Linked DNA regions of Neurospora crassa OR74A. The protein of the gene in region 2 interacts with the protein of the main gene of each other region in a pairwise test. Links are inferred from orthologs where the notes say so. Each region holds a gene or a part of one and is shown on either strand. Other genes may lie near its edges. The genes, in order: NCU04799 and NCU01929.

Evidence for each region.
Region 1: the proteins of NCU01929 (region 2) and NCU04799 interact in binary tests that used the Saccharomyces cerevisiae proteins (3 or more experiments, as listed by UniProt). The link is inferred for Neurospora crassa OR74A from reciprocal best matches to the Saccharomyces cerevisiae genes PAN3 and PAB1.

The regions. Positions count from the first base shown.
Region 1 is NC_026506.1:858,985-875,593, forward strand, and holds NCU04799 (polyadenylate-binding protein), read right to left. Parts: upstream 7,726-16,609; 5' UTR 7,312-7,725; intron 7,079-7,311; 5' UTR 7,056-7,078; coding exon 4,924-7,055; intron 4,866-4,923; coding exon 4,703-4,865; 3' UTR 3,902-4,702; downstream 1-3,901. Other genes in the region: NCU04798 (alpha-1,2-mannosidase subfamily), read left to right, coding at 544-1,787, 1,840-3,472; NCU04800 (E3 ubiquitin-protein ligase), read left to right, coding at 10,133-10,617, 10,699-10,916, 10,996-11,437, 11,486-13,778; csy (chalcone synthase), read right to left, coding at 14,939-16,145, 16,212-16,342. UniProt on the Saccharomyces cerevisiae protein: Binds the poly(A) tail of mRNA. Appears to be an important mediator of the multiple roles of the poly(A) tail in mRNA biogenesis, stability and translation.
Region 2 is NC_026501.1:1,979,831-1,996,158, forward strand, and holds NCU01929 (PAB-dependent poly(A)-specific ribonuclease subunit pan-3), read right to left. Parts: upstream 8,061-16,328; 5' UTR 7,471-8,060; intron 7,414-7,470; 5' UTR 7,339-7,413; coding exon 7,269-7,338; intron 7,184-7,268; coding exon 7,069-7,183; intron 6,892-7,068; coding exon 6,755-6,891; intron 6,690-6,754; coding exon 6,592-6,689; intron 6,539-6,591; coding exon 6,196-6,538; intron 6,149-6,195; coding exon 5,996-6,148; intron 5,936-5,995; coding exon 4,881-5,935; 3' UTR 4,377-4,880; downstream 1-4,376. Other genes in the region: NCU01931 (hypothetical protein), read right to left, coding at 1-1,141, 1,191-1,310, 1,429-1,573; NCU01930 (U6 snRNP-associated protein Lsm7), read left to right, coding at 3,323-3,548, 3,661-3,732, 3,821-3,954; NCU01928 (UBX domain-containing protein), read left to right, coding at 8,779-8,916, 8,989-10,395; NCU01927 (hypothetical protein), read left to right, coding at 11,622-11,697, 11,839-11,927, 12,017-12,049, 12,218-12,592, 12,736-13,830.

The DNA.
Region 1 (16,609 bases), on a different chromosome or scaffold from region 2:
ACTATCCTGCTTCCTTATTGGACAATAGCATACCTGTCAGTGGCTAATGCCCCTGTTCCCGATCGGACGCCGGCACGGTAAAGGTCTTAGTATCGTCTTGGCGACCAATTCCCACCTCAGCTTCTCCTCTTCCCCCCCATTCAACTTGACACTCCTGACAAGAACGCCACTTTATTCAATGTGCCCAAATTATCATTTTAGCACAATGTGGCCCATGTCCCGAAGAGGCTGATTGATAGTGGATCAGTTAGCAACCCCGGACTTAACTTCGACGCCATGGGTTGTCTTGTCTCTTCAGGGGTTCCGGACCCTGGTTATCCTCGTGTATGTTGATGTTTTGACTATGATCTTTGACTTTGATGTCTCGATATCCAAGCAAGGGAACAGATTATGTTTATGTCTGAAACGCTGCCAACCTAATGGCTGTCAATAACTAACAGGCCACATACATAGCATGCGAGAGCTTCAGACAACCACCATTTAGAAGAGAGATAGCCACGCGAAGCGTATCTCTCACCTCAACTACGGCTGAGGTCAGGAACCATGGCGATGAATAACGACTCACCGTACCGCCAAGCGGCAGCTAAACTACCCGTTTATCTTGCCAGTGTTCTACGAAAAAGAAGAGCTTTTCTCTTCGCCGTCTTATTCACCATCACCATCTTCTTCCTCTTCTCTCCTTTCTCACCCGACATCGCTGGTTCCTATGGCAAACACTCCAGCTCAAGCCCATCCTATGGGGCGGTCAAAAACCACAATGTCAATGACTTCCTGCGATTCATTGACCCCCTCATCGGCACTACCAACGGCGGCCACGTCTTCCCCGGTGCCACGCTGCCCTACGGCATGGCCAAAGCCGTGGCTGACACCGCCTCGCCCGCCGAGAACGCCGCCGGCTTCGTGTCCGACGACAACCCCATCACCGGCTTCTCGCACATGCACGACTCCGGCACGGGCGGCCAGCCCTCTCTGGGAAACTTCCCGCTCTTTGTGCATCCGGGCTGTGTAGACGACGACTACACCAAATGCGACTTCTCCCTTTCTGATCGACCGCTCAACCGCGTCCCTGATTCCGTCTATGCTTCACCAGGGTACTTCACCGTGAACATCACCAATGGCGTCAGGGCCGAGATGACGACTACCCACCACTCCGTTCTCTACCGCTTTTCCTTCCCCGGCACAGAGGCGGTGCCCTTCGCCAAGGGCGTGGCGCCTTATAGTCCACTTATCTTGGTAGACCTGGTCGACCTCATGAACAGTCGCTCCAGGGGTAACATCAAAGTTGACCCCGAAACTGGCCGGATCATGGGTGACGGGCGGTACGGCCCTTCTTTTGGATCGGGGCATTACCACGCTTATTTCTGCGCGGATTTCAAGGGTGCCAAGATCAGAAAGACAGGGACGTTCGAGTCGAATAAAGCTACGGACGAGAAACAGCTTCTTGAAGGCGTCGGGTGGGGGTCGGCGGGTGCTTGGATCCAGTTTGAGAAGCCTGACGAAGAGATGAAGGACTCGATTCTGGCGAGAGTGGGTGTGTCGTTTATGTCCGTGGATAAGGCGTGTGAGAATGCGGAGAGGGAGATGGAGGATTGGGACTTTGAGAGGGTTGAAAGGGATGCAAGAGAGGCGTGGAGGGAGAAGTTGGATGTGGTGAGGGTGGATGCGAATGGGACCAGTGAGGAGTTGCAGACTACTTTTTGGAGTGGACTGTATAGGACGTTGTTGAGTCCGCAAAATTATACGGGGGAAAACCCGTTGTGGAATTCGAGCGAGCCGTATTTTGACTCGTAAGTCTGGCAACCAGGAAAGGGGGAACAGAAAGATGCTAACGTTGCGTAGGTTCTACTGCATCTGGGATTCATTCAGAGCTCAACACCCCCTTCTAACAGTCATCGACCCAAAGGCACAAACCGAGATGATCAGGGCCTTGATTGACATCTACAGACACGAAGGCAAACTGCCTGACTGTCGCATGTCCTTTTGCAAAGGCTACACCCAAGGCGGTTCTAACGCGGACGTAGTCATCGCCGACGCCTTCGTCAAGGGTCTCACAGCCGACATCGACTGGAAGACAGCCTACGAAGCCGTCCTCTCCGACGCCGAAATCGAGCCCCGAAACTGGGGTCTCTCCGGCCGCGGCAACCTCGTCTCCTGGCACGATCGCGGCTACATTCCCCAGAACGACGTGGACACGAACGGCACCGGCCCAGCCTCGCGCTCCATCTCTCGTGGCGTCGAGTACGCCTACAACGACTTTTGCATCTCCCTCCTATCCCAGGGTCTATCCAAGTCCCCCTCTCTCCTCGGTGCTTCTTCTACGTCTTCAGAAGTCGCAGACTCCTCCTCTTACCGCCCCAACATCTCAACCCCCTGGACCTCCCTCACCGCCGACATCACCAAATACCACCACCGCGGCGCCAACTGGCGCAACTACTGGAACCCTTCCGCAAAGGACCTCTTCCGCGATGACCACACCACCCAATCCGAAGACACCCCCTACTTCTCCGGCCAAAACGTCTCCTCCTCCCAGGTACCAAAAGGCTACACCATCCAATCGCCCTTTGTCGGCTTCCTCCAACCACGCACACTTGCCGGCACCTTCCGGTACCACCCCGCGCGCACCTGCAGTCCCATCCAAAACCAGCACTCGTGCTACTACGACACGGCGCTGGACGTCTACGAAGGGTCACCGTGGCTCTACTCCTTTTTCGCGCCGCAGTCCATGTCGACGCTGATCCGACTCATGGGCGGGGCCGACACGTTCGTCAAGCGATTGGAATACTACCATTCAAGCGGCATCGCCTACATGGGCAACGAACAATCGTTCCTGACCGTGTTTCAGTTCCACTACGCCGGTCGTCCGGGCCTGAGTTCCAAGTGGCTGCGGAACTATATACCACAGATGTTCAACGCCAGCGTCAACGGCATCCCGGGAAACGACGATTGTGCCATGGGGGCCTTCACCACGTGGGGCATGGGACTGGGTGTTTTCCCCGTTGCGGGGCAGGACGTGTACTTGATTGTCCCGCCGTTTTTCAAAGAGGTCAAGGTGAGGGCCGGGATGGACCTTAAAGCATCATCGTCCTCTCCTTCTCCTTCTCGTGACTACTACCTCTACTCGGAGAAAAAAAAGGAAGCAAAATGGGCGGTGATCAGAACCGTCAATTTCGATGCTGAAATGCAAGGCAGGAACGGTGGGAAACCGGTTTATATCCAGTCTGCCAAGTTGAATGGGAAGAAATACACCAAGAATTGGATCACGCATGAGTTCTTTGAACAGGGCGGGTTGTTGGAGTTGGTGGTTGGACCGGAAGAAAGTTTGGGCAAGGATGGGTGGGGCACAAACCGAGAGGATTTGCCGCCTAGTTATTATGAGGATGAGAAATTCTGGGAGGAGTGGGAGAGGATGGATAGGGAGAGGACAGAGAGGTGGAAGGAGGAGGAAAAGGCGAAGGAAGAGGGGAATCGATGAGGTTGATGATGGGTATTAAGAAGTACTCTTTTCTTGAGGTGGGTAAATAGATCCTAATGAGATTTTAGCTGGGTAGTAGGTTACGAGCTGAACTCATCCTTGTTGCCTCAGTTGTTGTGATTTCTGTGACGAACGGATGCTATTTTAAACCATAACCATTTGAATTCGTCGATATGGAATGATGGCGTTCAAATTGGTGTACCTATATCTCGTTGGCGGCTCTGTTGGGATTACTTCGTATTGTCTTGCTTCTTCTTTGACACTCGTTGTTCGTTTCATCACTCCGAGGTCAGTGACGACAGCACATGAAGACTCAAAGCTGTCGATCAGTATAAAATATGGCCTGGAACAACATCCAAGCTCAAGGGATGGACTGTAACCGCAACCAGAAGCCACGTACCGCTTACCCAGCATCACAATCAAGAATTCACTGATATCAACTTGATAGCATCTATTGGCTTATCTCTACCCTCTAGCTGAGCAATTTTCGATCCTCCTTCTGCCATTCATCCGGGATTCAACCCCATAAGAAGTCCCATTACCCCCATTTCTCATGGGCAATCTGGACAATGAAGATGCTGGTCTATATCCCTTTCCTTCCCACTCTTGTTACATGACCGGGTTCTAAAACATTCGCTCTGTTACTGTCTCGAGAGCGAAAAGAATGTGTTCCCTAAGATGCCCGAGCTTAACCTCCCCTTCTGTGAAAACGCGGCTGAAGAAACCCGACATTCCGGACCAATTGCAGATAATCACTTTTGGCCAGTTTTCCCTCCCTAACCGTAAACGCCAAATCGTTGATAAAACATAAGGAACATAATCATACCCCTTCAGATGGCCAACCCTGTATGATGCGACACCACGCTCCATCACAAGGAGAGAAAGAAAAGGCAAGCCTGTCAATACATGAGGATGACTTTGAATCAATATCATATCGAGATACTGCTTGTAAAAGTCGTCATGCACACAAGGAACAAACTGCACCCCACCTGCTGGAGATACTTTTTAAAATCCATCCACTGCCAATTCGGCCATCGCACCGTGATGGGGTTGCATGGGATCGGGAGAGATTAAATCATAATTGTCGTCAAGCGAAGTGTGGTATCAAATAAACTTTTCCGGACCCCCCGTTGCGAGATCGACCCTAGAGAGTTGAATGGAGAACATGAAGAAACATCTGAGAAACACCTATGCCGGTGCGTGGGAAATCATCCATCGCTCAGGGCACATTTAAGCCTTCTGCTCCTCCGGCTTCTGCTCCTCAGCCTTGGGCTGCTCGCCGTTGGCCTCAGCGGGCTGCTGGGTGGGCTGCTGGCCCTGAGTCTTGAGGTACTCGTCATACACGGCAAGAGCCTCCTGGACCTTGACGTTAAGAGCGTTGTCATCCTCGAACCTACAGAGAGACAGGTTAGCGATATGTAGAAGAGTCAGGAATAGACATGTAGACTTACAGGTTGATCAGCTCAGCGTTGTCCATCTCGAGGAGCATGCCGGTGATCTTGCCAGCAAGAGCGGGCTGGATGGCCTGGATCTTGGGGAAGAGGTTCTCGCCAATGATCTGCTTCTGGGCCTGAGGATCCTGAGTGGTAGCGAGCTGAGCCTGGAGGAAAGAGCCAGCGCTGAGGTCGGCAGGAGCGCCAGGAATGGGGGAGGCACCACGGCCGGCAGCCATAAAGTTAGCGTTGCCGCGAGGAGTGCCGCGACCGCCACCGTTCTGGGGACGACCGGCAGGGGGGTAGCCGGGAACGGCAGGGCCGCCCTGGAGACCCTGGGGAATACCGGCGGGGATGCCCTGAGGACCCCGGCCAGCGGGACCGCCACGGCCACCACCAAGAGCACCAACCTGGCCCATAGCAGCCATGTACTGAGGGGTGTTAGGAGGGAAAGCACCAGGGCCGAACTGGTTGATGGGGTAACCCATAGGGGGCATCTGCTGGGGAGGGACGCCACCGCGGCCACCCTGCTGGTAGGGGTACTGGCCAGGGCGACCACCCTGAACGCCGGGGACGATACCACCCTGGGGGAAGGGGACGCCACGACCGCCGGGGGCGGGCATGAAACCAGGCTGCTGACCAGCGTAGTAGACAGGAGCCTGCATGTACTGCTGGGGCATACCAGCCTGGGCAGCGGCCTGCTGCATGCGGAGCTGGTTGCGAGCCTGGATGCTGGCCTCAAGCTGGCTCTTGCGGACATCCTTGCGCTGGGCAAGAGCGACGTAGAGGGGCTTGCCATCGACCATGCGCTGGTTCATCTCAGTGACGGCCTTGGTGGCATCATCGGGGTTGCTAAAGCAAACGAAGCCGAAGCCCTTGCTCTTGCCGAGCTTGCGGTCACCCTTCTTCTCAGTCTTCTTCTCAGAGCCCTCATTCTGCTCCTCCTCCTTGGTCTCACCCTCCTTCTTGTTCTCCTTGTCCTTCTCATCCTTCTCCTCGGAGCCCTCGATCAGAGAATCGCGCATGACCTTGGCGGAGGTGATGGGGCCATACTCAGAGAACATGGCACGGAGCTTGTCGTCATCGACATCATCGCCGAGGTTCTTGATGTACAGGTTGACACCCTGGTACTTGTTGGCCTTCTCGAGGCGGGCAGCCTCGTAGGACTTGCGGAGCTCCTCCTCGCGCTCGTGCTTCTTCTGGGCACGGCCGACGTAGAGGTCCTGGCCACGGAAGTCCTTGCCGTTGAGCTCATCAACAGCCTGGGCAGCAGCCTCGTGGGTGGTGAAGTTGACGAAACCGAAGCCACGGGACTTGCCCTCCTGGTCACGGGCAAGGGAGGAAGAAGTGACCTCACCGAACTTGGCGAAGAGCTCACGGAACTCCTCGTCGGTGACCTCGTTGTTAATGTTCTTGACATAAACGTTGGTGAAGTTGGCCTTCATCTCCTCGAACTTGCTCTGGCGGTCCTTCTTGGGAATGTGGTGGCCAACGTAGACCTTCTTCTCGTTCAAAAGCATGCCGTTGACGTGCTTGATGGCCTGGGAGGCAGCCTCATCGGTCTCGTAGTGGACGAAACCGTAGCCCTTGGAGTTACCGTGCTCATCCTGGGCAACCTTGCAGGAAAGGATGTTGCCGAAAGCAGCAAAGGTGTCGTGAAGAGCCTTGTTATCAATGGCAGCGTCGAGGTTCTTGATGAAGATGTTGCCGGCACCGGTCTTGCGGAGGGCGGGGTCACGCTGGGACCACATGATGCGGCAAGGGCGGCCCTTGATCAGGGTGTAGTTGAGCTCCTCAAGAGCCTTCTCGCCGTCAGCGGTGGTGTTGTAGTTGACGTAGGCATAGCCGAGGGAGCGACGGGTGACAGCATCGCGGCAGACACGAATGGAGGCGACAGAGCCGATCTGGGAGAAGAGCTCGAAGAGCATGGCCTCGGTGACGGAGGGGTCAAGCTCGCCGACATAGAGAGAGGCGGAAGCCTGGGGGTGAGGGGCAGCAGTGGGGGTAGGAGCAGCCTCAGCACCCTCGGCCTGGGCCTCGGGGACAGCGCTGGTGTCGATGGGGGCCGGGGCAGCGGCCTTGTTGTCGAGGCTGGTGTTGCCGAGGTCAGCGGCGAGCTGGTCGACAGCGGCGGTAGAAGTGGCAGCCATTTTTGCTGGTTAAACTGTAGATTCTGTATGATGGATGGAACTGTCAGCGTCCGTATCCTTTTGTGTGTGTCTGTGTCTCTGATCAAGGCGCCGAGGGGTAACCGATGTGTCGACCGACGACGACAGCGGAAAGGAGGAGGAGAGGACAAGTCTCAATTGACGTGACGTTGGGCGGGCGGCACTGGCGGCGGCCACGGCGACGACGACAACGACGATGGCAAGGCAGGAGGAATTGATAGTGCGACGAGCAACGTACCCGAGATCTAGAGTTGTGTGGAGCAAGTAAAACCGGCGCGGAGAACGGGCGACGGTATTGACAAAGAGGGAGGATGAACTCGACTGGTCAAGGACGAGATTCGGGAGAGGGAGAGGAAGACTGGTGGACTTGGAGACTTGGGTAAATGTCTTCCAAAAAAGGTGGGTGGATTTGGTGGGTTTTATGGGGTTTTGTATGGATGGGGGGGATTTCTCTTTTTTCGGCGATTTTCAAATTTTTTTGGTGAGGTTTTGTTTGTCACAGACAAGAAGTAGATAGAACAGAGACCGAGAGGGTAAATGTTCGTACTTATCTGACTTCTTTCTGGCTTCGGTTTGGAGGAGTTTCCTGAGGATAAAGGGCGTGAGGTCCGCTGAAGAAAGAAGAGGAGGAGAAAGAGGGCAAGAAGCAACGACGCCCGGATGGCTCACGTCTTAATGCGGAGGTCAGATTTTTTTTCTTTCCCGCCCACGCATCTTGTGGTTGCGCACTGTGCCGCGCCCCTCGTAGCCGGTGAAGTGCGGCTAGGGCGGTCAGGGCATGCGGGTATCGGGGTGGCATGGGCTGCAAAACCTTGATTTATCGATAGGACCCGCCAGGAATTCTCGCATAAAGGCATCCATCCACCTGTGCAGACTGCAGACCAGACCGGAGATCCAGCGAAACGTGCGACTTCCAACTTTGCCTGGCACTTCCACTTGCTCCCGGGCCACCACCTGAGATCAAGCATACTTACGGTACTGTGGTCGACCATGGCTGACGACGACTCATGCCAACAACAGGCAGACATGGGCACTTATTCATGAACCCTGGAGGGTTGTTATGAAACCCTGCGTTTCAGCCGTACCTATTTGGTATAAACCGGCGAGATTCACTTGTATTGAATCACGGGACATTCCATCTCAGTTGGCGGTTGGAGTTGAAGATGCAATAGGTTACAGCGGTGTGCCGGATTTTGGCACTGGGTCGCTGGCATCTGTCCCATCACCATGGAACAATGCTAACGACCGCCTTACCTTTCTGGAAGTCCGCTAGCAAACGGCATTGCTGCTGCATTCGTGCCACGGGCATATTTCACACCAGACAAAAATAGAGAAGTAAAACGGATGTCCTGAGTATCAGCATTCGCAGTCCATTTCACCTGCAAAAAAGACATTGTTGGCAAAGCCGCGCACGGAACCTTGGATGGGGCAACTTGGCCGGATGACCTGCCAGGATGTTGCAGTCATATACTGGTTAGCCAGCGGCAAAAACCAAAGTCTGGAACAGGGCATCTTGGGTACTCGAACAGTTCGAGCGTAATGACACATCCTAACATTTCGACGAAAAGGTTTTGGTCCTGATGGCGGCTGCTGTCTGTTGAGGTTGGTCCCATTGTGGTGATTGGTCCCTGTGCCGGGTCAAGTCTAACATGGAAAAGAACAAGATGTCAAGATCGGCTTGATACAAATACCCGAACCAGTCCCACCCGAGTTGCTGCTGGGTTCATCTGGAAAAGGAAGGAACTCGTATGAAGATATTCATATATCAAGACTACCTCCACCACCGTTAGCGCAGCAATTGGCACGGCGGACACCACAATCACTCAATCAAGAAGTCAAGTGAAGTGGAAGGAACCAAGGCGGGAGCAGGCATCTGACGGACGACGCTGCTTGGCTGTGTCCCAGACTAGCCTTGCCAGCCCAGGGCTTGTTTGACCTCTGGCCTTCGTGTTTGTGAGTAGGCCGGGGCGGGCATGGGCCATAGAACCCGTATTCATCGTCATTGAATTGGACATCAAAAAGGCACCATCCTGTTGTAGTTGATGGACGACAACAACCATTCAGGATTCTCTTCAGGTATAGAATCCTTACATAACTCTTCATTCGCCCGGACGAGCAATGTGCTCGAGATACCACCAGTCTTGTTACCTAGAGGTACCTCTATGTACCATGCTTCACATGTTTCAATGGATGTCATCGATGCCCAGCCTGCCTGCCCCGGGCGATAAGATAACACAGACAAAGGAAAGAGGGGTCATCTCCCAAGGCACCTCGCTGTACCTGGATTCCTGCTGAGGTACCTACCTCGACACTCAATCATGAGATCTACCACCAGAAACCTTTTGATGCTCAGCGCCGACGTTAACGTTCCGAAGCTCGTCGTAGGATTCAATCCGCGCTGGTGTTGTAGCAAGCCTCTACTCTAGGTCCCAAACAATGTGTCGCTAGCGCTGAGATACATGTCACTTCAGTTGGTTGATCGAGCTTATCAAGACATCGATTCGGGTTGGTGGCAGCGACTGAACTTTCTGGAACAGCTACCTCTACTGGTGCCTACCATTGTCTGGATTAGTGATGATTTGTTAGTGCAGTACCTAGACAGGTGCAAGTGCCGTAGCACTCCGCTAGCTATTTAGGTACCATAACAGTGGGCACACACCTGAAAGGTACGCAAAAACAGCGGGGATGTTGCTTCCAACCCAACAACGGCCAGGTAGCCGGCCATCGTCTCGTCATCACTGCCATCACTGCCGTGCCATCTCCATGAGCAACCTCCTGCAGTCCAACACGGGGACATCAACCACACCGTTCACGACGACCAACTGCAAGACAACACCTCCAGCGCGGAGATCCCGGCTCGTACGACCTCCTAGTTCAAGTCCGAATATCTACACCGCATCAGAACACTTTCAAAAATATATAATATTCATTCGATATAATATCAACCTGCGCAATTCCACGCCTAAGCTTCCCTCCTCTCGCCACTCGTCCGCCCTCCGATCTTCCGTGTTAGTGTTGGGGAATCTCGAATATCAAACCAAACACTCGAGTCACTAGCCATGTTTCCCACCTTTACTGGTAGCTCTAGGAAAGGTCGAAATGTCAACCTCAGCGGTCAACGGACAAGCAACCCCTTCACCAGCACCTCATGGGGCGCCGGTTCAGCGACGGGAGCTTCCAAAACAGTAGCGCATGCCCAAGCAGAACGTCAGCAAAGGCAACAGGAACGAGACCGGCTCAGAGCGGCGCAACGAATACAACGAACATGGAGGGGACATCGTGTGCGACGAACCCTACGAGATGAACAACGCCAGGCTATCGACCGTCTGTACGAAGCGCAACCCGTTGATGCTGGGCAGAGGTCAGCGCAGGCATTACCTCTGGTGTTTGCCGCCTTCCAAGCTTTCAACGTACAAGACCGTCACAGGCTAGCTTTGGTTACCGAAGATCTTCTCCAGACAGACTTCTCTGCCTTTAGCTTGGTATTCTTGGGGTGGGACAAACTGGGCAAACTAAGGCGGATTTTACTTGCTGCTCTGACAAGGTGAGCAGTTCATGATTTTGGATCCCGAGTCATTATTCCACAACTGTCCAGCATGCTAATGTAGAGATGGCTTCTCGATAGGTGTGATCTCGGAAACGAGCAGACTCAGGTGGCTCTTTTCCTACGGGCCCTTGATGCGATCAGGACCAAGACGTCGGACTTCGAGACGTTTGGACAAGTTCTGGGAGAGTGGTACAAGGTACTCGGAAGGTTATGCCAGGAGACTGGTTTGCCCTCTTCTGTCCAAGAGCTCATTTGCAGTCTGGTGGTTGCACCGCTTGATGTACCCCACGATTTAGGTGTGTACCATTTGTTGGGATTCTCCCCATCGTACAAGAAAGCTTCTTTGACTAACTGTGGCCGTCCGTTTTTATGTAGACTTCAAACATACAGCCTACCAAAACTTGGTTGTTTCTTTTCTGACACAGCCCGGCCCGGCGCGATGCTCGGACCTGATTACGAGACTAGCCGCCAACATAGACCTAGATCGGCTGTCAAATTATATCATTGACCTCTCGCATAAGCTTTCAAAGCATGACCCGAACGCTGTCCTCTGGCTTATCGCACACTACATTGCGATCAATGGGGCGAAGGAACAACGAAGCTCAAGGCTTCTTTTCATCAAGACCCTAGAATCACTCTTCCCTCTGTGCTCAGCCCAGATAAGGGCGGGTTTTGCCGTTGCTCGACCAAAGGACACGGGTTACTTTGCGGAAGCCGAGCAAGATGGATCCGACGTTCTGCATCCCTTTGTGCGACAACAGCTTCAGTCGCTAGTTGATAAAGGAGCCATCCAAGACCTTCTAAGCGCTTTTACCGCGTAAGTGTTCCTTCGCCTGCTGCTCATTTCAAGCGCTAACAACCTTAGAACTACCGGGGAAACCTCTACTTCGGCGGATGACGACGCCAGTTACCTCGCTGGTTTCATCCTGACTTTGATCAACTGCTTTCCTGCTTTTAGCGAGGACATTCGCATGTTCCTCTATGTGGCTGACATCTCCACTGCCCAAGGCCGTATTCCAACGGCCAAGTACTTCTGGAGTGCTACACAAAAGACGTCCGTGTTCTCAGAGATTGCGTCCAGCCAGGACTCCACGCTAGACTTTCTTCGACGCAAACCGTCATCACCAGCTGCCGAGGCGGTGTGGCATCGAGAATGGAAAACTGTTCTTCTGTTCCTTGAATCGTACATCTTCGTTTTGCGGCTCATGGACGACGATGATTTCTTCAGCACTTTAAACCCCCATCCTAACTTCGGCGGCCCTTCCTCTCGACTACGTCTGGCGGGAATGTCGCTGAGCGAACTGAAGCGCTTGACACAATTTCTCAAGCACCTCAGTTTCACAATGTACTACAATGCTAAGGAGCTACTGACAAACAGCCCTTGGGCCGAGACGCCCAACTCGAATCGCCCTAGAGGCGATGGCGGTCAAGCTTCCAAAAATGATAGCTTCCTTCCTCCTGCCGGAGTTGATTTCACTACGCTCAGAGACTTAGCAACGACAGCCATGAAGATGCTTTACGAACGGGACTCGAGACGACCATTTTTGCCCGAAGGCCACTGGCTGATGACATCCAAGTTCGACATGGAAGGGTTCCTTGCGGCTGTGGTTCTTGAAGAGCAGAGACAACACGAGCTGAGCAATACCGAAGATGGTGCCGACAGCTCCGAGGATGATCAACAGGAATGGTCTCACTACGCACATCTTGAGAGGCTCAGGCAGAAGAATAGGAAGGCCGCCCGCAACCACTTATTGTCTGCAATCACCCCGAAGCTTGAGATTCTGCGCAATATGCCTTTTGCTATCCCATTTGAGACGCGCGTTCAAATCTTCCGACAGTTCATCCAACTGGATAAGCAGCGCAGACGTGGAGGAGATGGCGATCCAGACATGTGGAGAGCTCATATGCTACGCAATGGCTTTGGTGCCCAGCACCCCCTGGGTAAACACACGGCTCGGATCCGAAGAGGTCGAGTTTTTGAGGATGCCATGAAACAGCTTTGGGAGTTGGGCGAAGGACTCAAAGAGCCGATCCAGGTTACGTTTGAGGACGAATTTGGAATGCAGGAGGCGGGTATCGATGGCGGCGGCGTCACCAAAGAGTTCCTTGACAGCGTAACTACAGAGGCATTTACCCACACCGAACTCTTTGTCACGAACAGCAAGAACGCATACTACCCAAATCCCACCCTTATCGATCGGATCAGGAACATGCGGGTAGGAGAACCGGAAGAAACACAGCGTGCTGTAGAACAGGTGCTCAAAATGTACGAATTCCTGGGGCGAATTATCGGCAAATGCATGTACGAGGGGATCCTGATCGACATCGTCTTCGCCGGCTTCTTCCTCCTCAAATGGGCCACCGCCAACGACACCCCAGGCGGCGGTAGCAACCCCCTAGCATCATCCTCCTCCACCACCGCCGGCTACCGCGCCAACATCAACGACCTGCGCGAACTCGACGAGGAGCTCTACCAAGGCATGCTAAGCCTCAAAAACTACACGGGCGACGTGCAAACCGACCTAGCTCTCGACTTCACCATTACCGACCCCATCAACTCACCCGGCGAACCCACCCGCACCATCATCCGCCCGCTAATCCCCCACGGCGACTCGACGCCCGTCACCAACGAGAACCGCCCCCTCTACATCTCCTACGTTGCCCGCCACCGCCTCGTCCGCCAACCCTACCCGCAAACGCGCGCTTTCCTGCGCGGTTTAGGCTCCGTCATCGACCCCAGCTGGCTCTCCATGTTCAACCAACTCGAGCTCCAACGCCTCGTCGGCGGCGACAGCTCCGAAATCGACGTTGAAGATCTCCGTCGCAACACGCACTACAACGGGGTGTACCAGATCGGTCTTGATGGGGAGGAGCACCCCACCATTCAGATCTTTTGGGAGGTGATGCATGAGCTGAAGGACGAGGAGAGGAGGGAGGTCCTGAAATATGTGACGTCAACGCCGAGAGCGCCGCTGTTGGGGTTTGGTCAGTTGAGGCCCTATTTCACGATCAGGGATGCCGGGCAGGATGAGGACCGGTTGCCGAGTGCGAGTACGTGTGTGAATTTGCTCAAGCTGCCGCAGTATCGGAGTAAGGGGAGACTGAAGGAGAAACTGCTGTATGCGGTGAAGAGTGGGGCTGGGTTTAATTTGAGTTAAGGAGGCCAAATCATTTAGGGCTGCGGTTATGGGGTTGAATAGTACAGAAGAGCGTGAGGATCTGCGGTTGACAAGATGGGATTGAATGGGATGGGATGTTGTTAGGTTTGGCGTTCAGACGGTTTTCTTGTCTCAAGTCTTGTTTGAGACTAAAAGCATTAAAGCAGCTGATAATTCATTCATTCACTTGAAGCCAAATTGACTGATTGCTACTTCCTACTTGATTAAGTGTATATTCGATCATCTTTCTCCATCGTTGTAGTTAAAGCCCAAAGCAATGATTAACATCTACTTCACGCACATACATAACTGGGTAGTACAGAGGGACGACAGACAGGCACATCATCAAGCTGTGCCGCATATAGCCTGTGTACTTACTCTATCGCGACAGAGACAATCGTCCTGTTAGTTCCCTGCGCTGCGCATGCTCAGACAAACAAACAATTGACAACCCAACCACCACAACGTCCATTTAAAACCTTCGCGACCGAAAGGAGGGGGCAAGTAAAGTGGTGTACATAGTAGTGACAAATCATGTGTATGGCTCTACATTACATACTTATCTACCCAGGATGCGTATATATATATATATATAAATATCCGAGAGGACTCGAAGTCCGAGCCATGGGCCGGCCACATTGATCACCATGACCCCATCTCATATATTTATTGGAAAGTAAGTCAGCTCTCATTTGTTGGGTCACCACCACCACCACCACCACCACCACCACACTCCCCAATTGGGTTATAACATTTCGTCGCACGTCTGACATAACCACCGACACCACGATTCAGTTTTTGGAAATCCTTTCTTGAACTCCCCTTTTTCTTCTTCTTTTCCTTCTTACATTTTTCTTTTGGTTGGTAAAAAAAAATCAAAAAAAAATCGAAATACAAGAATAAGACAAAGAAGGTTGGATGAGAAAAATGGTTTTTCTACGAATAAAAAAAAGTGAAAGGGCTAGCCCGACCGACCGACCGACCGACCGATTGACCGACCATAACCTCTTTAATACCATCAAGGTATCGAAGAAGAAGAAGAAAGAACTACATCAAGACTCCTTGGTAAACACCCGCCTGCTTACTGACATAGCCTAAGCTTGCTACAAACGAAAACCGTTCACATCCCCCGCCCTCCTTTTTCGTGTGATCCATCCATCTCAATCCAGTTCAACATTGTCCAACGCCTCATTAATAAACTTCTCCTCCTTCTCGCCCCCTTCTATCGACTCCCCATCGTCACTCCCCGCACTCGACCCCGGCCCCGGCCCCTCGCTATCATCCGTCTCCGGCGGTGTGTCCAAACCCGTCGTCGTCCTTGCTGGCGCGTTCATTCTCCGCTTCAACATACACATCTCGACGTTGATCCCCGGTCCGAACGCGCAACCGACGACATACTCCTTTACTTTGCCGCCGGGCGCCAGTGCATCCATGTCCTTTTCCCTGAGCCGGTTGAGAACGCTGAAGATGGTTGCGGAGCTCGAGTTGCCGTGGTTGATGTACCTGTCGTAGGAGGCGCGCATGTGCTCTGGTGTCAAACCCATGGCGCTTTCGGCGCCGGACAGGATGGTGGCGCCGCCGGGGTGCATTGCCCAGTCGAAATCGGCAGGTTTCTGGTACGACGAAGGGAGTTGGTCTTGGAGAGAGGATAGGAGGTCGGCGTAGGTTGGTTGGAGGGAGGCTTTGGCTAGTACTGGGACTCGGGGCGACAAGACGACTTTCCACCCCATTGGGTCGACGTCGAAGCCGAGGTCGTGTTCGGAGTCCGGGATCACGCGGTTTTCCCAACCCAAGAGGTCGTAGATCGCGGGCTTGCCCGGTGCCTCGCCGATGCCGTTGGACAGGATCACGGCGCTAGCGCAGTCGCTGAACAAGGCGATGCCAATGCGCGTTTCTTGCAAAGCGTCGATGCTTTCTAGCTCGCTGCGGACCATGGTCGTGGAGACTTCGAGCGCGAGGACCAGAATCCGGGCTGGCTTGCCGCGCGCTGTGTGGCCCAGACAGAGATTCGCCGCTGTGCGAAGGGCGGCGAGACCACCACTGCAGCCGATGCCGTGGAGGAGGACCTTCTCCAGGCGGTCACTGAGACCGAGCTCTTTTGCGACGTAATGGTCGTAGCCCGGGTTGGCCGAGTCGGTGCATGTCGTCGAGACCATGTGTGTGATCTGAGCCGGTACTAGCCGCGCTTCGGCCATAGCCTTTCGCGAGGCTTCTACAGCAAGAGGGACACCATCGGACATGAAGACCTCATGAAGTTCTTTGACGGTAGGTGGGTTGGGCTTGTTCACGAGCGGGTGGTCAGGGTTTCCTATCGAGGAGCGCTGATCAATGCCCGTGTATCGGTTGATGGCGAGGACCTTCTTCATGCTGTTGCAGAGCGAAATCAGTAGCTATTTGACAAGCACGAAGCACGAAAAGACCAAGATAGCTTACGCTGGGGACTCTGGGTGGTATCTCTTGCTGAGAATGTCGATAGCGTCTGGACCAAGGCTGTATGGAGGATACTGGACTCCCAAGCCCGTGATGGAGAGCCCCAGCTCCCCGGCAACAGTTGAAGCAGCCATTGTTGGTGATTTGGATGAATTGTTGGAGAGAAAGAGCCGTGGTTGTCCAATAGGTGTCTTCTCTAGTATTGGGAATCAACTAATTTTGTGATTTAGTTTCTTGGGGTCTTCTCTTTGTTGTTGTAGGTTGGTGGCCAGGAACTGGGCGCAAGACTGTTTATCTATGTGACGGCGGGGTAGAAGCGAGAGTTACAGTTGAAATATTCCCTGGCAATGACACACAGTGTTGTATCGCAACTGCACCAATGTATCTCTAGTTCTCTCGGG
Region 2 (16,328 bases):
AGCCCATTCGAATTTTCCGCTCTCGTGGAAGAGCATTTTGACACTTCCTGGTCAGCTACCGCCTCCGCTGCTATTCCAGGCCTGCCCTCTTGGGGCGTATTTGTCCCGAGCAATGCAAAAATCTCATTATGCGTCGTTGCTTGCCAGTCACATCGTTCGCGGTTGTCGGCACACCCTTGACAACCGCTGCCCATATATTCGACACAGGGTATCTGTAGCCTCCGGCAGCGGTCACAAGGGGGGCTTGTCGATGCTGCACGCTCAAGTCTTTCTATAGCTCGTGTGCCGGATCGGCTGGCAGCGGTGTGGCGTTCCAAAGCACCGGATCCCCAGGACAATCGATGCGCTGGATCTTGCAGTACCGAGTTCTCCATGTGGATCGAACCAGCAAGTTGCTGAAGGGGAGCCAATGTTCCAGATGATGTCGGCATTGGTGGTGACCGGACAATACCAGCCTGCCGTAAATGCAGCTGCGAATGATTAGAGGATGCAAAAGAGGGACTTGAGCCAGATTTTCCTAAATTAGAAGTCTCGGCGTGCTGGGCAGCTCGAGATAGAAACTGCCGCAGTAAGTAAGCCTGGAGATCAGGATCGGGCTTCAGCTCGCTGTGGCGTTTCGGGTAATGGTTCAGTTCTGAAGAGTGCTGGAACGTATAGCGAGCCCCAATGGCAGCCTTGCGGCCGCTCAGGTGATAGTTCAGTTGCCGTGCTTTGGCAGCTATCTCGTCTGCCTTCTGAATGATCCTGTGAACTCGGTCCTCAACTATATCTAGCGTGACCAACTCGATTCCGTCATCCTCTTCCAACGGTTTGGGCGGAACTAGGCTAAAACGGTCCAAAGCACCGGACCTGATAAGCCGCCAGTCATCCTCGGTGATTTCGACGTCGACGTTTTTCATGGAGAAGCGACAGACCCGGCCACGACTGGTTATTGTGGTGAGATTGAACTCGCTAGGGTTAGCAGCCGCAAAATCGAGGATGTCCAGCCAGCTAGGCTTATATGGCTGATCCATTCCGGAAGAAGTCTTGGCATAAACAGTAATTTCACCTTCGAAAAGACTCTCCATAGCTCGTAGTAAACGAGGTGCGGTGAGCTTGGCCCCTAAGTTTGCAGCCAGGCTTTCATGTCGACTGAGAACTCCTTGAATAACTTTAGCTCTGGAGCCTGTACTACAGAGTACTCTTCATACCTTCATAGTCGCTTATAAGGGATATGACCTTGTTGAAAGCGCAGTTATCCCCACGAAGAAGTTCGAGGCTTGATGTCTTGATTCCGGAAGCGGAAAGATAGTTGATAGGTGTAGTGTTACCTAGCGATAATCAGTAAGACAACGGGGACTTCATTGAGAGTGCAAGAGCCCAAGTCATGGCGCAACCCCGTCAAGTATTGGCTCAATGGGAATTTGTCCTCTTCACGTTGTAACATACCTGACTGTGGCGGCCGTGGTTGGGGTATGCGGTCAGGGCGGGTAAGGCCGGGGATGCCATTGTCGTCTAGGTCTCTCTTGCGCTTAGAGGGGCCGGGCCCAGGGGAACCATCCCCCGATTTCCCGTTGTGTACGCCTGCCGGCATCTTGCGGCGTCACAACAGAACCAAGCAAAGGAGAAACTGCTCCGAGTGGACACTATGGGGTTGGGTCACTCCCTGATATTCTATATCTTGGCCGGGTTTTGTCTCTATTCGAGGACTATTCGTATCGACTTTACAGATGTTAGCCTGGCCGTGGCAGGGTAGGCGACTCGAGGAGACTGTCCCGCATCAACAGGGCGAGCCTGCGGTGAACTGCTGTAGTATAGTGGTGCCGATTCAAGCCGGTGAGGGAAGCCCAATATAGGTAGGCGCGTACAGAACCATGCGCGATGCGACCTGTACCTGTATTAGGAACCCAAACTTGCCGTAACCGTTTGGCAGTGGGATAGCTGGAGGTCTGATAGTCGAGAGCAAATTGTGAGGTCAATGAGGATATGCTTCCCTTGCTCGAAGTTTGATAACAGCCGGGGCAACGAGTCAGGGACACTTCTAGCCAGTGGATAGAGGGGTCGAGTCGTTAAGTAGTGTAGGCATCCGTCAATGGAATATGTAGGTAGTAACACCGATTTTCGAGCGGCTGGAAACTAAGGCCCGTTTTGCTCCTTGGGCAAGCTTGGAGTTTGGTAGGACCTACTTGTGAACTCCCAATCGCACCTCGTCACATGGAACCCAACTCGATCGGATACTCTTGGCCCGGTGAGCGTGCGTCTTGGTTCAATGGCTCTCGGATGTTGCCGAGAGAAATTGAGTTCTTGTCAAGCACCTGAATTTCAAAGACGGCGCTTCTTGATTCTTGGCACACATGCCTGACAGTCTTGGACACAAGTTTCTTCGCCGCTGCATTGAGAGCCAAGATGGTAGGCGGCTGCTGCAACGCACCATGTTTTCGCTACTAGGTAGTTTGGCAGTTGTTCCCGTTGCTCAGAACCAAAGACAGAACTTGAACGATGGCCAGGCGAAGTATTCCCTCCTCAGCCGTCCGACCATGTTAAAAGGTCGTAGCAGATGATTAATGTGTTGGGATATTGACAAGCTCATCACACGACATGAAAACCCTACGGCACTGCAGAGTTGACGGACATGGTGGGAAGTCGAAGAGAAAGAAATAAACATACCAGGGCGACCTTTCATGGAACAAAAGTGTAGTGTAGTGGATGAGCTGGCGGGCCGTGTCTGTGAGCCGTCCAGCACATCAAATTGGTACTCATGACACGCATTGTTTTACACTGCTGGACGTCACGAAGAAGAGTCTGAGGAACGAAGGCAGGATTAAGAAACTTCGAGGTTTCGATCAAGCCGGTTGTGGTTGGACTGGAAGAGAAGGGAAGGGAAGTTGAGAAGCTAAAAAAGAAAGCTTGGGCCACTCAATCTACGAAGTGTAGTGTAGCGATTCACGGCTCCTGTCGTCAGCCAGTCTGGGGAATGCTACCTGGACCTCAAGGATCCACACTACCCGCACTTACAGCCGGATGGCAGCCCCACAGCGGGGTGCTTGGCAAAGCACAGCTGTGGAAGAAACTCAGCTAGGCGTCACTCCCGCCAGCGGATGCAGACGCCAAAAACGCGACTGACCCAGACGGGACGACTGACCAACCCCACGACATCCATCGCAACCCATAGCGCCAGCCAGCCTGACGACAACAATCGCAGCACCGAACGACATTACCAACACCACAAATCAACACTCGACAATCGCCAATCGGTTCGGTTTCGACGACTTCCTCTCTTCTTCCATACCCACCAGCGCAATACACGGCGCATACTCAATCAACTTCACAAAGAAACAGAACAATGGCCGATAGAGGAAATAGGGGAGGCCGTGGTGGCGGCTACCGGGGCGGTCGCGGAGGTAACCGTGGAGGAGCAGGTGGTTCTGGCTCCGGCGCCGGTGGAGGTCAGGGAGGCGGTGGTGCTCAGGGCGGTGACCGCGGTGAGCGCCCTAAGAAGGAAAACATCCTCGACCTCAAGAAGTATATGGACCAGCGCATCACTGTCAAGTTCAACGGTGGACGTGAAGGTACGTCGTGACATGGCTGTTTCCCGAGTCCCCTCAACGAGCTCCCTTAAAGCTCCCCACAAAGCTCCCTACAAAGCTGACACAAACCCTTCTCTTGTCTTCGACACAACAGTTACCGGTACGCTCAAGGGATATGATGCGCTTATGAACTTGGTTTTGGATGATGTGCAGGAAGCTGTGAGAGGTAAGCTGTTGCCTCCCTTGCCTTTCTCTGCCCAGTGCACCTCGCTCTCTTTGGCCCCAGTTGGTCCTAACCCACGCACCTATAATAGACGAAGAAGGCAACGAAACCACCCGTCCTCTAGGACTTGTTGTTGCGCGCGGTACGCTCCTCGTTGTGATCAGCCCCGTCGACGGAAGCGAGGTGATTGCGAACCCCTTCGCTCAGCAGGAGGAAGAAGCTTGAGCAGAAGGGAATGCTCGTCTGGACAAAGTAAAACTGCATCATTTTCGAAACATTATACCAACTTGGGGATCTGAACGCCATCCCGTCATGCTCGTAAACCGAGCGATACCGCAATTGGACGAGACGACAATTTTGACGAAGGAAAACGGGGCAGGACAGTGAGAAGGAACACCAGGACAGAAACCTGAAAGGTTGAGAGAAGTCTAACAATATGTTATGATATCCGCCCCACTCAAGGATAGGACGGTGCAACAAGGGAAACATTGCTGAGTTGGGTGAGCAAACACCCAGTGTCGAGCATGAAGGAACACAAGTCGGCCCCAGCTACCAACGATACCCACCAGAGGGACTGTAAGAACAGGGGTTGGCTACATCGAGAAGAAACACACATGCAGCTGGTTGCCCTGAGTTATGGTAAACGTCCAGCCAACGCCGTTATTGACGAGTGGGGGAATCTAACTGGAAATCAAGCCAGAAGGCAACATATGCCTGTTCAAGAACGTCCCTTGGCTCCATGAACTCTCGAGCAGCGGCAAGTTTTCTCATTCAGTATCTCCTAGTGGAATGAGAACGCTTGGGAAGATAACGAATAGTTCGGCTCACCGCATACATATGCCAGTTGTTTTCAGCCCACATCCTGCTCTGGGACGGAATTGGGCACGTGTTCTGAGTCTGTTTTCTAGTTCGCTATCTAACATGATCTGCTCATCGCTGTTAACCACTTTCCACCACTTAGTCCACATTTCTTCTTCTCAATCCCCCCTCTTCGCTTTCCTGGTAGGTCAAGCTCGCTTTGGTCGGGCTGCTACGTCCATTATTGTCGTTCAGCCTTCATTTGAGCTGCGATCCATATCCTCGCCATGGCAAAGGCCGTCACCGAACATGTGGAGCCATTGGCTGAAAGCGCAAGTCGAAAGACTCTATATTCAGATGGTAGCCCCCGTCGCGCTCGGTTTACTTTCCTTTCCAAGCTCGCCATACGCACGGTCCAGCATCTGTCGTATACTCCTGTAGCTGACGACGAAAACCGTGGCATTGTCGCGACTGGTGAGCAAGATCTGTTCTTCGGAGCTGGCGTCGAGCTTACTCAAGCAATTGAGGTAGTGATTCGTGTCGAGCCGAGCCTTTCCATCGGCATCCACTTGGTGGAAGACATAATCCCTGAATAGTTTTAGGAGGAGGCGCTCTCCAGTTTCCGACCAGTTGTGCACCCCACAAGAATCGCCCCGCTCGTTAACAACGGACAGTTTGAACATGAGACGGGCAATCCTGCCATTCTCCAATTCCCTCATAAGATGGAACTCTTTCTCATCGGACTCCTGCATGACAAAATTGGCAAAATTGGCGAGGTGTGTTGTGATTCCGCCAAGTAGGGTCTCAACCGTCTTGGTTTCCCCTGGAGCAGAAGGCTTAATGAGCCATTCCAATACTCCCCTCAACTGTGTCGAATAGCGCGGCACAATGGTAGCCAGAGCAGCGTCAATGTTGTTGAAATTGAGCGTCGGGGTGTTCGTGGCCAGAGCCAGAATAATTCTGCCAAACTTGACAAAATCCTCTTGTTGCAGCTCCTCAATAGTTTTGCGATTGGGGCTGTCATGATGTAGTACATCGAGGATTGAGCACGCCGCAAGCCGAATGCGGTTGTTTTCCCAGATGATCTTGCTCAACTCCAGACAGCGGGCGGCCAGCTTGGCATTGTGGATGGCCAACAGCGCGTTCGCTATTTGGCACACATAGCTCCATAAAAGGTTCTCGGGAATCTTGTTCGTATTCCGTAATCTGTTGTGGCTGTTGTTTGGTGGAAAATGATGGTCGTAGAGTGTTTCGGAAAGAGGGTGAAAGTCATACACGAAGATCAGAGAACTGTCGCCAAAGAATTCGGTGGTAAATGCTTCGTGTACGGTGACAATGTTTGCGTTGATGATCTTTTTCCACTCCTTAGTGACGTTGAGAATGGCCTTTTCGTTGGTCAACCGGTAACCTGCCAGAGCCGAGTTAGTGAACTTATATTCTCAAAGCCAGAAACTAGGCATGTCATTACCTTCGATACGTCTCAAGGCGAAGTGTCTCCCATTCTTGTTGTTCTGTGCTTTGTACATCCAACTAGGATAGCCAAAGCAAGTGGAGTTCCTCGTAGCCTTTGTATCGAGTGGGAAGAGCGAGTGCCAGCGATCAAGATTAGGAAGCCCGGAATCTGCTGCGGTTAGCGACCGATCTCCACTGAAGAAGCTATGGACTCACTTGGTAGTAATTGCTGCATATGGAACAGTTTCTTCTGCAAGTTCTCTCGCCTATCCTTTGGGATGAAGAAGTCGTACGTGGTTCGCTGATAAGGTTGAAGGCTTGGACGATACAGCTCCGATGGTGGTTGGTAGAGATGGTAGTTGGGTGGATGGACCAGCCCATTGCCAAAACCCGCGGGCTGATATAATCCTGCCCCAGCACCGGCCAGATTGTTTGGGTCGTTTGCGTATGGGTTGTATTGGCCTTGCGGCGGCATTGTTTGACCCAGTGAACTTATCGAAAAAGGGTCGCTGTAAAGACCACCGTCCTGAGTGACGTGTTGTGCCCCATTCTGCGATATCTGCCGACGACTGTGAGCAAAGGCCATCTGCCAGCCTTCCACATATGACTTACCGTGTTGCCAACATCGTAGTTTTGCGGGGTAAATTCCCTAATAGCCGCTGGGTTGAATATGGTCGAATCATTTGCTTGCTGTAGAGTCGGCGTGGATGCTATGGTTGAGTTAAACATTGCCTGAACATCCATATAGGTCTCAGAACCGCCCTGGGACACTTACTGCCAACTCCCCTTGGGGTGAATGGGGCAGCACTCGCAGCTTGGGAGGAAAAGGTGGACTTCTTTCCAGCTGATTGCTGCTGGTTAGCTGGCGTAAAGGATGGGGATTCGACATTGAAGACTCTTCGATTTGAGTTGCTATAACCAAAGTCAGAAATAGACAAGACATACCGACACAACGGAAAATGAAATAAAATAAAAAACACCAGACAAGCATATTCTCGCCATGACGTTGCAATCCCATTCCAAAACCCAGGAGCATAACTCCCCGCTGACACAGCACGCGGATGTAAACAGAGTTAGGATAAAACTTACAGGTCGGTCTGTGAGACGGATGCCTTGTTCTGGTCATGGTTGAAGGTACATCCAGAGTCCTCCCATCGGCAATGTCCGTAGATAACAACATTGCGGCAGAGTGTTTCCTTGGTGTCTTCGGGAGCAAACCAGTTAGCGGGACACGCCGGACGGGCTGCAATAGAACGAAGATCGAGATCCGGGCTACGTTGAGGACATACCGCGGTTCTTTGCACGCGGCGACCCGACTTGCCTTCGGAGATCGCCCGAATTATATCGCGTTGCGGCCATGGTGTTGTAGACGGGTGAATTATTGTATTGGACTAGCAAATGGGATGAACGAGCCCGAGGCCGATTTTACAACGCCTGCAGCAGAGCAGCTTAGCAAAAGCACATCTAGCGAGCACGGAGAGGTGGATATACTTCTTCACCCTCACGGATCTCTCCCATATTTCGGACAAGCCGACACCCATAGGGAACGGCGAAGGCGCCGGCGCAGAGTTGCGTGGCAGCAAGCGGTAGCAGCGGAAAGCTCGAGATTTCGGGTTATACGTCGACGATACGCTGACGAGGTTGGCGATGGACAGGAGGGACGTATATGATCGGATCGGATGGCACGCGATGGACCAGTTGGAGATCCAATGCGCCACTCGCGGAGGGACAAAGGGGACTGGTGGTTGGCAGATGTCGTATGCAATCCTGGGGCTGCTTTGAGGGTGATGGAGGTCCTGTTGGCTGCGCTGACTTGACGAATCGAGTCCAAGGGGGGGTCAGATTCGGATGGTTTTGCGAGCACAATTCGCTACAGCACTTTGCGGAGCAAAAACGGCGATGCGTGACCGTGACGACGGGAACCTTAGCGGTAGCTACTGCCCACGAGTGCCCACTCACTTTCTCCAGTGTCAGCGACGGACGGGAAAGAAAGCTGAGGAACTGCGACGCGGCGGCGGGCTGGGCTGCGGACAGGGCACAGCTGCGTGCCGGGCGGGAGTCCAGGGCAGACACCACACAGGAAGGGAACTCGCACCCGGTCGCATCGACGAGTGTGCCATCGCTCCCACCCCACCACTCCCACCATCTTGGCGACCCTGTTTCCACTTCCACCAAGTCGTAGCAGTAGGTGCCCGGTTGCCCGCCCTCAGTTCCACCCGGCTCCTCCATTCCCGACGGGACCTACCTACGACCTCTGGGAGAAGGTTCCACCGCGGACAGCTGCCGATATGCGACTATCAGATTTGTGCATCGCTGCCCAGGGACCTGCGTTAGGCACATAACCGAGGCCGCTGACCTCATCTAAGTGACGTGGTATCTTCACGCTTCAGCTTCAACGCGCAGACATTTGACATATGTATGTACTTGTAGGTCGCTACAGCCCGGTACTGTACACCATCAAGGTTCACCATTCGACCTCTTCCTCCTTGGTCTACATCCCGCTTCTTCTTCCCTTCTCTTTCTTTCTTTCTTTCTCTCTCTCTCTTCTCTAATCCTCCATCGTGATTCACTCAATTTCCAGTCGCGATCACGATCAGAGCTATATGTGTCAAGTCGCTTTTTCGACAACCAAGCATCGCGAGCATACCGAGGCCAGCTTGTTTGAAATCTGCCCCGTTTGATGCGCGGTCGAGCAACCAGCCTTTCTTCAAGTGACCCCTTCCGTCCACGATTCAGCAAGTGACGGTTTGATATTCTACTCATACTCCAGCTATCCACGCGACCGCCGAACTGCATACAATGTCAGGCGACAATGCGGTGGACATCGGTCAGCTGTCCCCGGAACAACAGCAGGCCTTGCAGCAATATACAGATGTTACAGGGCAGGAGATCACGGATGCTATTCCGTTCCTTGAACGGTCGCAGTGGAATGTTCAGGTAATTGTCGGCTAGAGGCCCCCCGGCTTTTCGATGCCTGCATGCACGTGCTGGGACTGACGTCTGGCGCAGATAGCAATAGCCAAGTTCTTCGACGGCGAAGGGCCCGACCTGGTTGCCGAAGCCCAAGCAGCACAGAACCAAGTTCCTAGGGTTGCCGGTAGGCATGAGACATTACACGAAACCGTCTGGTCGGATATCGCGCACCAGCATGGGCTACACCGCGCGAACCGAACACCGCCCGCCCCGCGTGTGGTGCCCCCGAGGCCCGTTACATACCAAGCCCCATCACTGATTTCATTCCTCTTGTCGCCTTTCCGGATGGTTTTACGAGTCTTTGCCAGTCTGTTTCGGCCTATACTCTACATACTGTCCTTTATTCCGCAGTCTCTGCGGCCCCATGCTTTAACAGCATCATTCCGAAAATCTCGGCGGAGCTTGCTTCCCAAAGAGACGGCTGGGCGATTTAAACGGGAATTTGAGGAGTATTATGGCACGCATGATCTGGTCTTCTTTGACGGCGGACATGCCCAAGCTTTGGACACCGCAAAGAAAGATCTCAAGTTCTTGTTGACGATACTGATTTCACCAGAACACGATGACACCGACTCATTCATCAAAGATACGCTTCTCGACCCCGAGGTCGTGGCCTTCATCAACGATCCCGCCAACAACATCATAATCTGGGGAGGAAATGTACTGGACTCTGAAGCTTATCAAGTTTCCATGGAGTACACGTGCACCAAGTTTCCGTTTTCATGCTTGGTGTGCCTCACGCCGAAAGAGGGAAGCACACGGATGGGAATCGTGAAGCGTATTGCAGGGCCTGTCTCTCCGTCCGTCTTCATTGCTGGGATCCGGGGAGCGATTGAAAAGTACGCGCCTGATCTTGACAGTGTTCGCGCCGAGCGCGCGGCACAGGATATGGCCCGTAACTTGCGATCTGAGCAGGATTCGGCTTATGAACGGTCGCTTGCTATTGACAGAGAACGAGCACGGCAACGGCGAGAGGCAGCAGCAGCTGCTGCCGAGGCGGAGAGGCGCGCACGAGAAGAGGCTGAGGCAGCGGAGCGAAAGGAAAAGCTACGCCAGCAGTGGAGGAGATGGCGTGCTACGACTATTGCCGCTGAGCCTGATGTCTCGGTAAAGGATGCGGTCCGTCTGGCGCTTAATATGTCGCAGTCGTCCGGAAGGGGGAGAGTCACGCGGAAGTTTGCCCCTGACGCGTCACTGGAGGATGTCTATGCATTTGTCGAATGCTATGACTTGCTCTACCCTGAGGACGAAGAGGAGAAGGGAGATGTGGAAGAGAGCACAGATAAGCCTGAAAATTATGAGCACAAGTACGCGTTCCGAATTGCGTCCGTGATGCCAAGGGAGGTTTTTGAACCTACCGCGTCAGTTACTATCGCTCAAAAAATGGGCAGGGGAGGCAACTTGATCGTGGAGGATCTTGTTGATGAGGAAGAGGAGGAATGACGGCCGCTTGGTTGGGACTCAGAGCTTGCGGCATCGTTGTTGGCGAGGCATTGTAAGACAGAGTGATTAAAGGTAGCCTGACGCCTCATCGTTGTGTAGTGTAAGGGGGTTGGACATTCGGTTACAGTGTGAAGGCTTTTATATGTGAAATCCACTGTCTGACTTCCCATGGCTGAAGGACAGTGTGCTCTTATGTGATGTGGTCCAAGGCTGGATAGTATTTTAAAGCCTGGATTATTATACTACAACGTATTCGAGGCAGGCGAGTGTGCTGAGCCTTGTTGTTTTCTGGTTGATCACCCCCCAAGTACGCACTTTGAGGTAAGGTCCAAACAGTCTTGAATCACAAGCAGCCAAGATCAAAGGACACTCCCTGTCTCCATCAGAAAGGTGGGCAGCCGCTTGTACTAGTACCTCTTGGATGGGCGATTAAAGAGGCTGTTATAAGTACCTCTACTGAGTAGCTCGCCCATCATTCTGGATCGACCATAGATTGCGCAGCTCACTGAAACGACATTCTCCATTGATACTACAACTGCATATATAGCGAATACTACCCGAATGGCTTCGGGGACGATGAAGGCTACCAGAGCGTGGTTTAATAGGCACGGCAGGCATCATCGATGGCTGGTTTCAAACGCCGACATACCTATCATCCACTTCTGGATGGATCCGAAAACACGTAGCGTAGGTGATGACAGGAGCGGGCCGTTATTGAACTCCTCTACGGTCTACTCACAGCCTAAGATGTCCCAAGCTACCTATCACTGGACCCTGGACCCCTCCTACATGCATGTAGTGCCGCGCGTTGTTGTCTTTGTAAACCCCGATCTCGTTTCCTGGACCCTTGTTACCGCGTGGAGGCACTGCACTGTTCCTTACCTGCCTTCCCCTCGACTCCCGCTCTCTGTTAGTCGTCAATAATCCTCTGCCTTCTCTTACTCACCTGCCTCGCGGGGAACCCAGCAATTGCATCATCTGCTTCGATAGTTCACCACGAAATTCATTCAGTTGCGCGTCCGTCAGAGCTCTCATTTTCCCGTACACGTATTTCTCGACGAATTGATGAATTTCGCGACCAAGCAGGCAACAACACAACTCTTCGCCTGTGCGCCCGCCACGTTACGTGCCCAGACATCAGGCAGACATTACCGCGGTTTAAGACAATCCTCAACGTCCACGCCCTCCCTCTACACTCGAGACACCGCCCGAGCTTGGGCGCGATTATGACAAGCAAGATGAAGAACTTCAGCATGAATAAGATGCTAAACAGCATCAAGAAGAAGCCAACATTCTCCAATGGTAAGCGCTGGTCAGAAAGCTGGCTCCGCGACCAAGCCACCGTTTTTGGGATCGGTTTGCGATTATCGGTGCGGTAGCAAACGCAACTTGACCTTTCCGCTTATCTTATGTTCTGAAGCTGACCTCCCTTTGCTTGTATAGCAGGAAGTGGAAGTGGAAATGGAAATGGCGACGACACGACATCCGATCCGACTGGTGATGGTCCCGAGGCAACGGCAACCCGTTATGTGGTAGGCTGCTCCCTCAACCCCCCCCTCTTTGAAACACGCCTGTCTCCCGGAAAGCTCAAGCCGCTGACATGGGCCGTTTACACTGATAGAAACAATTCTGCATGTCTGATAGCGGCAATTCGGTATGTTTTTTCTAGTCGCACCGTCAGTCGCAAATCCAACTGCATGTCCGGCTGGGAAGAGAGGATCAGGGGCTTCGAGAACAACAAATCCGATCTGCCCCCGGTCCAGGCTCCTACGCGCACATATACAGCCGCACATGTCAAGGGTCAACTTCTGATTTGAAGCAGGGAGACGAAGTCGCTTTCCTACCATCGATCGTCGAGGCAGCCGAGTCGTCGCCGGCCGCCGCCGCAGAATGCGCCCGCCTGATTCGAAAATACTTACATCGTGACTACTGGACTAAACCCTCATTGCAATACAACGCCATCATGCTCATACGAATCCTTGCCGATAATCCGGGTGCGACCTTCACGCGAAACATGGATAAGAAGTTTGCCGATACCACCAAAGAGCTGCTCAGGTCAGGGAAGGACGGCAATGTTCGACAGATGCTCATGGAGACATTGGATGCCTTCGAAAACACAAAGGGCTACGATGAGAACCTGCAATTTCTTATCGAGATGTGGAAAAGGGAGAAGGAAAAGGCATACAGGGTCTACGGCGTAAGTTGTCCTCCATCCACGGACATCCGGTAGCAGGCTCAAAGTGATACCACGACTCGGCTACTAACTCAACCACACCGTCTAAGCACCACATTTCACCACCCCCACCCCAACAGTACAGTCCCTACTTATCACACCATCAGTCGCTCCCGAACCAGCAGGAATATTTCCAACGCGCCCAGCACACCTCCCGGCTTCCAGACCCCGTCGAACTCGCCAACCGCCTTGAGGAAGCCCGCACCTCCGCCAAACTTCTCGAGCAAGTAGTCGCCTGCACGCCACCCCATGAAATCCTTTCCAACGACCTGATCAAAGAGTTCGCGGACCGGTGCACGAGTGCCTCGCGCAGTATCCAGGAGTACATGTCCGCCACGGACCCCGCCCCCGACAACGACACGATGGAGAGCCTGATCGACACCAACGAGCAACTGCAGCAGTCGCTGAACCATCACCAGCGCGCGGTACTGAACGCCAAGAAGCAGCTAGGCTTGGGCTCCCCCGGCTCCGAGAGCATGAGCAGGCCAGGCTCGGTGGCGCCTGTAGTGAACGAGCAAAGCCGGCCACCTCCGGCGGCGTCGGGCACGAGTAATTCTAGAAATGAAGGCGTCCAGGACTGGTTGGCAAGTAGTAGCGCGGCTGCAGGTGGAAGTGGGAGTGGAAGCGGCAGCGGAAGTGGTCGGGGCGCCGGCGTTGGCGCCAGCAGCAGCAGTAGGGGGAAAGGCAAGGCGGCAGCTACCTCGTCTGATGATAACTGGGGCTTGAGCGACTCCAAGTACGAATCCATCTCTTCCAGGTCTATAGCTGGTGGTTCTTTCTCCGCCGCCGCTGCGGGGCCTTCGAGGTCTCACGCGGAAACGCCATATCGTGACGAAGAGGACCCGTTCAGGGATCCGATCCAGCCTGATTCTTCAGCGTCTTCGATGCGGCGAGTACAACCGTCAACGTTGAACACGACGAATGTGGGGAATAATGATGAAAGATTGTCATTCGAGCCATATCACCCTGGATTTGACGGTAGTGGTCACAACAATAGCACGAGCGACAGGAAAAGCATCAATGACAACTACAGTTACAACTCATCGTCGGCATACGATTACATGGGGGTTGGAGGAGGTTCGGGTACAGGCGCTGGTGCCGGGAAAGCGAGCAACTCGATACCAGAGCCTGTCACGCCAGTTAGCGACGATGGGTTGTACGGTAGCGGGGATGTGCATCGCTCGACCGGGGTCCAAAGATGAGGTTTAACGGTACTTGGGCCGGCGAATGAATAGATGACGATAGCCACCCTTTCCTTCAGCCGTCGTCGATAGGTTGGGATATTGGGGGGGAAAGCTACGACGATTTGGAACAGGACGCGGCTCCGGGAGGAGAGCACCAGAACGACGAACGAGGTGATGAGCTGGGTTAAATTCCACTTATTCAAATCGGTTCAATCAACCAGTCTTCACGAGGATTCGTATTTGCTGCCCTCTTCGTCTCTCGCTACATTTACACCCTCGCATTCTCAGCTCATATCCTTCATCGTGTCTTGCTCCATTCTGCCGATCTGGTTTCAACTACTGCCAAGGATTGCCTGACTATTGGGACCCGAGTGCAAGTTTCAGATCATCGGCATCGATCCTCCCGGGTCTTGAACCCTAAAACTTGGGCAGAGTTGAGTTGTGTCAAGTGTTTGCTGGGTCCACGACAGCATGACGCTTGAAGCTGCTCCTCTGCTGCGGGGCAGCAGGAATCAGAACAGCAAGAGCGCTGGGATTTGCCGACAAGGTGTTAGCAACCCAATATTGTTGTTCTTGCATGAGCGCATCGTGTTTGTCCGTTGGGCGGTCGATATAGTTGCCGAATGGCCGAGCGAGGACGGGACCCCCTTTCTCGGCGCATTTGTGGTACGTAGGGAGGAAAAGTCGATGATCAAATGTGGTCGGTATATTTTCACGTGGTTACCTGTGGGCGAGGATATGGCAGAGACTGCGCTTGTTTGCTTTCCTTGTCTCTTTCAATTTCCCATTTTCGGTTTTCTCCAGTTGTTTTCTCCAATCCCGTCCTCTACCCTCTGGCTTTTTATCTTGTATCTTGCAGGCAGACAGAGGCAGCCACACGTCACATCAAGTGGTCTCGCTGAAACACTCATCCCTTTTCATCACACGTACCTGGTCTAACGAGTACATGAGTCGGTCGATCAAGATATTCGGTGATACCACAGCACCCCTAGTTTGCTTGTTAGCGCTCTGACTTCTGAAGTTTACCTTTATACCCTGTCCTAGCAGGGAGATGTTTGCCTCTTACAGGTACGAATGTATATTCAAGTCAAATTCAGCTGCGTCTAAGGAGCGGGATGCGAGTTTCCATCCAAGGATTGGGCATGTGCAATGTGATCGTCCGCTGTCCCATCCTCATCCTCACGGAGTGTCTTTTTTTCCAAGCGCAGCCCAGTTCGGCACATCTCCCCTGTCGACATGTTTCGAAGCCCCGTAACTTTGTTTCCCGTGAATGGCTTGATGCTTCCACGAGCGCCACTGCATTTGTCCTTGGTGACTTGACGCCTTCCTCAAGTGTTGTCCTTCCATCTGATATATCGTCTAATCACCGTAGTAATATCGCTTGGGAGGCCTGCAGAAGCTGAGCCATTTGACGGAACGGTAGAATATCGGGGGACCAACAATTTGGGCGCAGACGAAGTAAGGAGATCCTAAGACACTTCACACCACTGCGAAACACGGAAGACGGCCTTATTCTGGTCCAGTAAGCCTGGTCAGGTACCGCGTCCACATGCTTCAATCACGAGCTCTCTGAACAAGCGCGGAGAGGACCACGAAAGTGATGTGAAACTGTGATGAAGTCCCCGAAGAGCTTTCATCGACCACGTATTCAGCCTGGTGTGGGGGGCTAGGTGAGAATGCTGCACTGTACGTAAGTGTGCCGAGTGTGTCTACCTACCTGGGTTCCATCAAATCGATCTATCCTAGCTTCGATCATCATACATCAGAGAGTTCTTCGAGGATCGGACGAACCACAAGCGCCTCCGCCATAGCAATAGCGTCGTACTAGGTCAAATTGAGCGATAACCAAAGGATCCTGGTTTTGCAGTAGTCGAAGGGGCGATCTCGATAAGAGCCCCGTTGCAGGTTGCATGTTTCATGGATCAAACACTTTGGTTCTTCACCGCATATACTTTATATCGCTCCGCGAGGAATTCGATGTGTTGCGATACCTGTCAACAAGGAAGATTTGAGCAACGTGATAGGTCATGCCTGTCAAACAGCGAGACAGCAGGTTACCCCTTGGGGTGATCTTTGGGGAGTACTTCGTCCCCCCCTGGGCTCTCAGCCGCCCGAACCCATCCGCTAGGCGACACGTATGGAAAGTGACGATGCCCGCAACGCTACGATACCGGACGCCGAGGAAGGAGGCTTGTCTTGTTATGACTGGGTTCGTAAGTCTGGAAGATCGCATCCTAGACATGATGGAATGCTTTGACATGCAGATTGCGAGATTTTGTGACTAGCTTCTTTCGACAGATGTGCTCTTGGATCTTCGGGGTCGCTCGCATATCACCAATGTACCTGTCGCATGGTCCGTATATGGAAAGCCGCGGTACAACTATGGGAAGGGGAGTCGGGAATGGTCAAGAGCCAGACCAGCTTCACCCCAAGTCGTAGAGGGACGGCCAAAGCCGGGGAACAGAGGGTGTGAAATGGGGTCTCGTCCAATATAGGCGCATCCAAAATACGCTGTA